Danio rerio: one gene and its partner. The protein of the gene in region 1 binds, or shares a complex with, the protein of each later gene. Links are inferred from orthologs where the notes say so. Each region holds a gene or a part of one and is shown on either strand. Other genes may lie near its edges.

Region 1 (4,585 bases):
TGTGTATTTATATAGCGCATTTATTGTGTATGGCCTTACACCCAAAGCGCTTCACAATCATGAGGGGGGTCTCTCCACACCACCACCAGTGTGCAGCATCCACTTGGATGATGCGACGGCTACCACAGGACAACAGCGCCAGTGCGCTCACCACACACCAGCTATTGGTGGAGTGGAGAGACAGTGATAGAGCCAATTCGGTGGAAGGGGATGATTGGGAGGCCATGATCGTAAGGGTCGATAGAGGGACTTTAGCCAGGACACCAGGGTTACACCCCTGCTCTTTCACGAGAAGTGCCATGGGATTTTTAATGAGCACAGAGAGTCGGGACCTCGGTTTAACGTCTCATCCGAAAGACGGCGCCCACTGACAGTGTAGTGTCCCCTTCACTTTTTACTGGGGCATTAGGACTCACACAGACCACAGGTTGAGCGCCCCCTGCTGGCCTCACTAACACCACTTCCGACAGCAACCTGGTGTTCCCTAGTGGTCTCCCATCCAGGTACTGACCAGGCTCAGCCCTGCTTAGCTTCAGTGAGTAACCGGTCTTGGGCTGCAGGGTGATATAGCTGTGACATGCACCAATGAGTTAACATGAACTAGCAATGAACTACTGCATTTTCATTAACTAACATTAACTAACATGAACAAATACGGTAGTAGATGTATTGTTCATTGTTTGTTCATGTTAGTAAATGCATTAATAAACATTAACTAATGAACCTTATTGTAAAGTGTGAACATTTATTTATACCTTTCTGATTTTACTTTTACCTTCTCGTTTACAAACCCATAAACTTGTGCTTAAAGGGCACCTATGGTGAAAAATCTACTTTTAAAGCTGTTTGGATAGACATGCGTGTAAGTATAGTGTATATACTGTCATATTGGGGTGATATAAACACACCCAGTCCTTTTTTTTTTTAATTTAACAACATAAAAATAGTAGACTAATTGGAGCGGTTTTCAGATCGGCCGCAACTTGATGTAGGAGTGCGGTCCCCCCGCCCACCAATATTGATTGACAGCTGCGCGCATTAACATGTCTCCGTAGAAATCATATCAACAAGACAGGACAAGCGCAAAGCAATTGTGAACAAAAGGTCTGTCCAGTTTGCTAGGATCATCAATCATCATCAAACGTGATCAAGAGTGAGTCTTACAAGTTTGAAATGTTCTAAAACAGTGCATGTGTGTAATGAAGTACAGCGATTCACTTTAGATTCACTTCATCAGCACAGCCACGTGTCAGAACAATTATAAAAGACGCTTCAATCCCAGTTTGTGGACGTTAAACCGGGTTTATTTTGTACACTAACATAACAGATATCCATTCAGCAGTGTATATTAACCTGTACCATGTCACAAATTGTCCGTAGTGTATGTGAGTGATTGTGTGTGGATGTTTCCCAAAGAAGGGTTGCGGCTGGAAGGGCATCCGCTGTGTAAAAACGTGCTGGATGAGTTAGTGGTTCATTCCGCTGTGGCGACCCCGGATTAATAAAGGGACTAAGCCGACAAGAAAATTAATGAATGAACAATAAAAGAATTAATAAATGAACCAAGTCCAGTCCAACTGGACTCAAAAACAAACTTAATGTGCTTGCAGACCTTTAATGTGCACTGCCATGCAGCTTTGACAAACACATACAACTGTGTGTGTGTGTACTTGCCATTAAGCTTGGAAATTTTCTAAATAATTTTTATATATTTCCAGGGTATCTGCAGGATTTTGAAATCAATTTAAAAGTTTAATGACCTTAAAAAGCAAACAAATACAAGTAAAAACCTCATTTAAACCACCGAGAACATAGAAATTAAAATGACTGAACAGCAAATATAATTTCCAAATCATTTGCCAGGGTATCTGCAGGTTTATATTAAGATTTATATTTAAGACCTTTTTAATACCACGCAGAATGAAGTTTAAGACCAACTGTAAAGTTACATTTTTTATAGTACCAAAAAAACAAACAACACAGCTAATTACCATCCTTAACACTCTTTTTACATATAGAATAGTCAAAAAAAATTAGTAGAGAAACTAATAATAATAATTGAGGTGCAGCGGCAATCACCATTCGGGCCGGTCATGACAAAAACCATCCAGTTCCAGTCCCTGGTCAACTGATTGATGCATCTCTAGCTCTTTATTTGCTAATCCATAGGTTGACACAGCTGCTATAGAGTAAAATTTTGATAAAAGTAATATAAAATTGATAAATTAGCGATGCAGTGGCGCAGTAGGTAGTGCTGTCGCCAAGCAGAAAGAAGGTTGCTGGTTCGAGCCTCGGCTGGGTCAGTTGGGGTTTCTGTGGAGTTTGCATGTTCTCCCTGCATTCGCGTGGGTTTCCTCTGGGTGCTCCGGTTTCCCCCACAGTCCAAAGACATGCGGTACAGGTGAATTGGGTAGGCTAAATTGTCCGTAGTGTATGAGTGTGAATGAGTGTGTGTGGATGTTTCCCAGAAATGGGTTGCAGCTGGAAGGGCATCCGCTGCTTAAAACATGTGCTGGATAAGTTAGTGGTTCATTCCGCTGTGGTGACTCCGGATTAATAAAGGGACTAAGCCGACAAGAAAATGAATGAATGAATATGATAAATAAAAATAAAAACAAAATCTTCTTTATGGGGTCAGATCGATTCAATTGCATTTTTAAGACCTTTGAAAAGCAGATTTAAGACGCTTTAAGATTAATTAAGGTCTTATCTTTATACTATGGAATTTAAGACACTTCTGTGAACACCATGACTGACAAACAAGCAAGAAAAACAAACAGACAATTTGCAAAAAATTGCACCTTCTCTGTGTTCCCATTGAACTTTCCCAGGATGTTGAAGAGCGGGACCTGAGGAATGATGAGCTGCTCCTTCTCGTCTTTGTAAAGCGGTGCGGTGGGCAGATCCAGGGTCAGGTAGAGGAAGGTGGACTCCGACATCTCCTCCTGATACTCCTCCTTCAGCAGAAGAGCTTCTTTCTCCTCTGGAGGCTGACAGAAAGAAAACAATTACTCACATGAATGAATGACTTATCCCATTTGGCAAAGAGCTGAAGGCCAAATTATTAGCCCTCCTGTGCAATTTTTATAATTTTTTTGAAAAGTTCACAAGTGATGGTTAAAGGAGAGTTCTTTTCGACACACTGATGACAGTACATAATATTTTTCTAGCTATTTTGCTTTCGTATTTAGCTTGGAGAGCAATTTAAAGAATTTAATTCTGTAGGTCATTAGACAAGAGAGGTTTGTTCTGTAGCCAATTTGGAAAAAATAATAAGTTATTAAGAGGGCCAATAATACTGACCTTAGCAAGTTTTTAAAGGGTCAAGAAACACCAAAACACATTTTTTGAGCTGTTGACAGACGTCTATGTGTCCCACACTGCTAAAAACACTATTAGGACACCTATATTTCACTAAAAACTGTAAATTGGTTGTTTTTGCGTTATTTCAAGCAAATTCGTACTTCCGGTTTGAAACTAATTTTTGAAGCTGCGTCACGGTCATGACATAATAGCCTGTATTCCAGCGTGCAGACTGGACGTCTGTGCCAGAGTGAGTCTTATTACGTCTTACAGTGTGATGCATTAATGCATGAGTAAGGCTTGGTTCAAACCAATCAGCGCGCTCTATTGTGCAACTTCATTAATATTCATTACTGTCACAGTGTTTAGACGACAGAGACGCCACGTTGTGTTGGCAAAACAAGCGTGAAGTGTTGCTTTTATAGTTTGCTGCTGTTAAGTTTTGTTTTCATTTTCTCTCTGTGAGAGCGCAGCTGGAGTCACGTGTGGATTAACAGTGTACGCGACGCTCGACAACAATAACTTACGTGTCTAAGGAGGATTATTGTTTACATGAGAGCTGTTCTCATCTGCAAACGCTGAGATCCGGATTCGCTTGTAGTCTCCTCTTAATAAAGACGCGGCTCTAGTTGCTGTGGATTGTCCTGTCTCTACAGATTTGGTAAGTGAGCGACCAGTGCTATTTGTTTATTCAGTTTGTTCGTATCGAACTAACGGTAACTATTGCACCGAGTGTAAACATGTTAGCACCACAACCAAACTTTAACCTCGTGTAGGATTTTCACCGCATTTAGTGACCGGAATAACACACGCGGCTTTCTGACGCTACCTGCCGTGTGCATCTAAGTTTCCGGGAAATGCGGAGGTTTTTTTTTCTCTCATTCGCCGTGCGGTATCAAACATTGCATGAAAAATACCAGCTTAGAGCAGCTCCTCGAATCAAATATCTCGTTTGTCACGAGGGACATGAATGAATTCCCTGAATGAAAGAGCCAAACTGCAGTTAAAGTCCACCATTTAATAATTTGGCAAATAATTCGACTACAGATGTCCATGTAAACACAGTCACTTTGTCCCCTGTGTGTGTGTGTGTGTGTGTGTGTGTGTGTGTGTGTGTTTTGACTCTGTAAGTCAGCGCGCCCAAATAGACAATCTCACACCATGCCTCTTTACTTCCTTCGACACTCCCCCCTAAACAGAGCTGGACACGCCCACTTTTCGTGATTATGACCACCTGTTGTTGATGTCAAAGGGGTAAATCCTCCTGCCTACACCGACATCA
Region 2 (4,215 bases), on another chromosome or scaffold:
TGGGCTGTGTGTGTGTGTGTGTATATATATATATATATATATATATATATATATATATATATATATATATATATATATATATATATATATATATACACACATACACACACACACATATTTATTTTATTATTATTATTAAATGGCACCGTTAACCCCATGCAAAAATCTTACCGTTTGAAGTTAGTCCAAGTCAACAACAGTAGATAATGTGTAATGTACTGCCATCCAGTGGCCACACGATTAGCTGCAATAAGGTGTCAACTATAGTTACAAATTCTTTAGAGACAAATACTACTCCCACCAACTGCTATACTTGTGGTGCATGTTTTTGTTGTGCACAAAAACAAGCCTAATCTTTCAAATAATAATATTTATAAGAGGTTAAACACGTTAAAGCAGGGGTGTCCAAACTCAGTGCTGGAGGGCTGGTGTCCTGGAGAGTTTACCTCCAACCCTAATCAAACACACCTGAACCAGCTAATCTAGCTCTTACCACATATACTAGAAGCTTCCTGGCATGTGTGCTGAAGCAAGCTGGAGCTAAACTAAACAGGACAGCGGCACTCCAGGACTGAGTTTGGACACCCCTGCACTAAAGTTACAATAAAGACAGTTATGACTTTAAATCAGCATATTATTTCTGAAGGATCATCTGACACTGAATAATAGAGAACTGTTGCTGAATCTTCAACTAATTAAATATAATCAAATAAAATCAGATTTTAAGTTTCCCTATTTTACAATAATATTTCCTGTATTTTTGATTGAATTTAGCTTTTGGTGAACTCGGAATACCTTAAAAAACACCAACCTCAAATATTTGATAATTTGCTTTTTGTTTAACAAAATGAAGCCGTCACATAAGTGTTTCCAGTCAGAAACAATACTGTGTACTTTTTATAATTATTTTTTTTTGTGGGGGATTTCATCGATAATAGATAGAACAGTAGAGTACTGACAGAAAAAGCATGCAAAGCAGAAAAAGGGGGAAAAAATAAATAAAACATCGGCATAGGACCTCGAGGTGGGAATCAAACTCGGGTCGCCTTGAGCAGCAGAGTGCATGCATCGATGGACTAACCACTACGCCACTGGCACAATACTGTGTATCATACTAAATACAGTAGTCTGAAACAGTGAAAAAGGGGTTTATTTTGGAGATTTAGAAAACAACAAAAAGGTTTCCACAATTATAGGTCAGTCAATAATCCAAATATTGAGAAATGAAAACAAACATTAACAGCAAACAAATAATATTCATGTGGATCAATTGGACACACTCTGCAGCAACGTGATGTTGTCTCCTTTCAACATAATCCGTCCTGTTAAATACAAAAAAAAAGCCCTCATTGTGAATTTCTTCATAAATTTCTTTTATTTTTGCTTCTCTGAAATGCATATTTCACCACAAGTGTGAAGTTCACACTTACCCAAGGGCTTCCTGTTTTTGGTCTTCATGTGAACCTCCTCCGCATCGTCCAAAACCAAATTCATGTACTCATCAAACCCCTTGAAAGAAAAGAAATCATAGAGGCTTTTTAATAAGACGTGTGACACAGTTGATATGAAAAACTTCCATATTTCCATAAAAACAATCCATATTTAAAATGTGTAAATAAATGGGCATATCATGCATGGTGCACTGATGTGTCAAATATTTAGTTTTTTTTACAAAAAAAGTGTTCATTTATTTTTATTTATTTATTGCCACATCAGCAACCTTTGGCTGTTTCGTGGCAAAATGGATATAAATAAAATATTACATGATAAAAACATTAGTATTACAATAAAAAAAGTTACTTTAGGCGAATATATAAAATCAAAATAGATCAAATTCACAAAAAAATACATCAAAAGTTAAATATGATTTTTTAGTTCAATTTGTGATAAATTATTTAAAATTCTTTCTGGTGATACCTTTTTAAAAATGTCCATCAAAATACTCTCCTTAAATTTTGTCTAATGGTTTTTAAAACTTCCACATTCCACCAAAATATGTTTTATGGTAAAAGCAGCCCGGCAGTAATTACATTTAGGTAATAAAAAGAGTGTACATCAGAAAATAAAGAGCAGGACTGGCTTGATATCAATAAGTCAGCAAGAGTAATAAGTCACAAAAATTATTATAATGCCTTAAGCCTCATTCACACTACGAGTGACTTGCACCAGCAAAGTGAGTGAGCAACTTCTGGAGACCTTCTGAGCAGCGTGACCAAGTTGAGAATCTTTCAACTATGAAAAGCAACTTTCTTGAGTGATAGCCAACAGGAGCGCGAGTAGAGCTCACATGATCCTCTCTCTGCTCGCTCAGAGGCTGGTTGTGTTCTCCGTGCTCTAGACCTACACAGACCTGCACTTGCAGCAGTTCACCACCCTGAGCGGCACGCAGCTTCAAAGTCACTGCTAGTGTGAATGAGGTATTACTCACACATACATACACACACCTGGAGCATGTATACACTGAACCTTGGATTGCACTTGAATGGTCAGATGTGCATCGACTTATTGCATAATATCTGCATTCGTTTGTGCATTAGGTCTAAATATTTAAAAAACCCTGCTGCTGTGTGTCTTTCTTCTTTATCTTTAAAATAGATTTTAAAAACTTACAAAGAACTACACTCACCGGCCACTTTATTAGGCACACCTTACTAGTGCTGGGATTGCCTTTTGCCTTCAGAACTGCCTTAATTGCTGAAGAGTGAAAGAAAATATCCCCACACCATCACACCACCACCAGCAGCCTAAACAATTGACAGAAAGCAGGATGGATCCATGCTTTAATGTTGTTGACGCCAAATTCTGACCCTACCATCCGAATGTCACCGGAAATGGAGACTCAGACCAGGTGTCTTTTTTCAATCTTCTATTGTCCAATTTTGGTGAGCCTGTGTGAATTGTAGCCTCAGTTTCCTGTTCATAGCTGACAGGAGTGGCACCTGGTGTGGTCTTCTGCTGCTGTAGCCCATTCATCTCAAGGTTGGACGTATTGTGCATTCAGAGATGCTCTTCTGCAGACCTCAGTTTTAACGAGTGGTTGCCTTTCTATCAGCTGGAACCAGTCTGGCCACTCTCCTCTGACATCAACAAGGCATCTGCGCCCACAGAACTGCCCCTCACTGGATATTTTCCCTTTTCAAACAATTCTCTGTAAACCCTCGAGATGGTTATGCATGACAATCCAAGTAGATCAGCAGTTTCTGAAATACTCAGACCAGCCCGTCCTGCACCAACAACCATGCCGCGTTCAAAGTCACTTAAATCACCTTTCTTCCCCATTTTGATGCTCCGTTTGAACAGCAGCAGATCGTTTGGATAATTTCTATATGCCTAAATGCATTGGCTGTTGCTCAATATGCAATCTTTAGTGGTCTTGCGTCCTTGTAGTCATGTAATGTCATCATCAGCTGCCAAAGTTCAGTTCCAAAACTCAAGACTGCAAGAACAGAGGACTCGTGAAACTTCCCGAATGCGTTCTTGATATTGAGGATGCAGCGATGCAGACTTGAGCAACGATCTTGCTAGAATTCCCAGAAGTCATTGCGACTGGAGGTGGGAAGCGCCGCATTTTATTTAGATTTATTATTAAAGTTCAGAGATATCACTTATTTACCTCAGGAGTTTCCCTAAATGAAACGGTAAATATAAACATTACCATAGACATCTTAATAAAGGAATAAAGGCAATAAGGGTGTTTGTTTGCTGAAATTTGTATTAAAATCTGTTTTATTGATACTGTGCAACGTATATTTATAATGTTTTTATGCAGAGTATATATTTTGAAAAGGGGAAAAACAATAACTCATTGTATGAATGCTGTAATGTTTAAATTTTAAATTAAAACGAGTGAAGGTCACGTGACCATCAGGAAGAACGCAGCATCCCATTTCCCACTGGATGCGTTCCCTGTTCTCGTGGTCTCCCGAGTTTGTTCTTCCAAGGAAAACTGGCAAGACTGGTCTCCACAAGAACGCAAGTCCAATCTCTGCATTCTTGGAATTGAGAAACAGCCATTGAGTTGCTGCCATGTGATTGGCAGATTAGAAATTTGCCTTAACGAGCAGTTGGACAGGTGTACCTAATAAAGTGGCTTGTGAGTGTATATTGTACTGATAAAAGGAGTAAATATTATACACCGATGATGGCATATTTATAAAAATAATAATTATAATTCCCAAGTGCTGATTAGCAGAGAGATTGTTCCAGCACATTTTT

The links. Proteins that work in one complex are often made in the same cells at the same time.
Region 2: usp39 (region 1) and snrpe share a complex: the UniProt entries of both Homo sapiens proteins name them as parts of the U4/U6-U5 tri-snRNP complex. The link is inferred for Danio rerio from reciprocal best matches to the Homo sapiens genes USP39 and SNRPE.

What each region holds. Positions count from the first base shown.
Region 1 is NC_133180.1:74,861,178-74,865,762, reverse strand, and holds part of usp39 (ubiquitin carboxyl-terminal hydrolase 39), read right to left. Parts: intron 2,991-4,585; coding exon 2,802-2,990; intron 1-2,801.
Region 2 is NC_133186.1:40,126,726-40,130,940, reverse strand, and holds the end of snrpe (small nuclear ribonucleoprotein E), read right to left. Parts: intron 1,510-4,215; coding exon 1,431-1,509; intron 1,323-1,430; coding exon 1,267-1,322; 3' UTR 1,128-1,266; downstream 1-1,127. UniProt on the Homo sapiens protein: Plays a role in pre-mRNA splicing as a core component of the spliceosomal U1, U2, U4 and U5 small nuclear ribonucleoproteins (snRNPs), the building blocks of the spliceosome.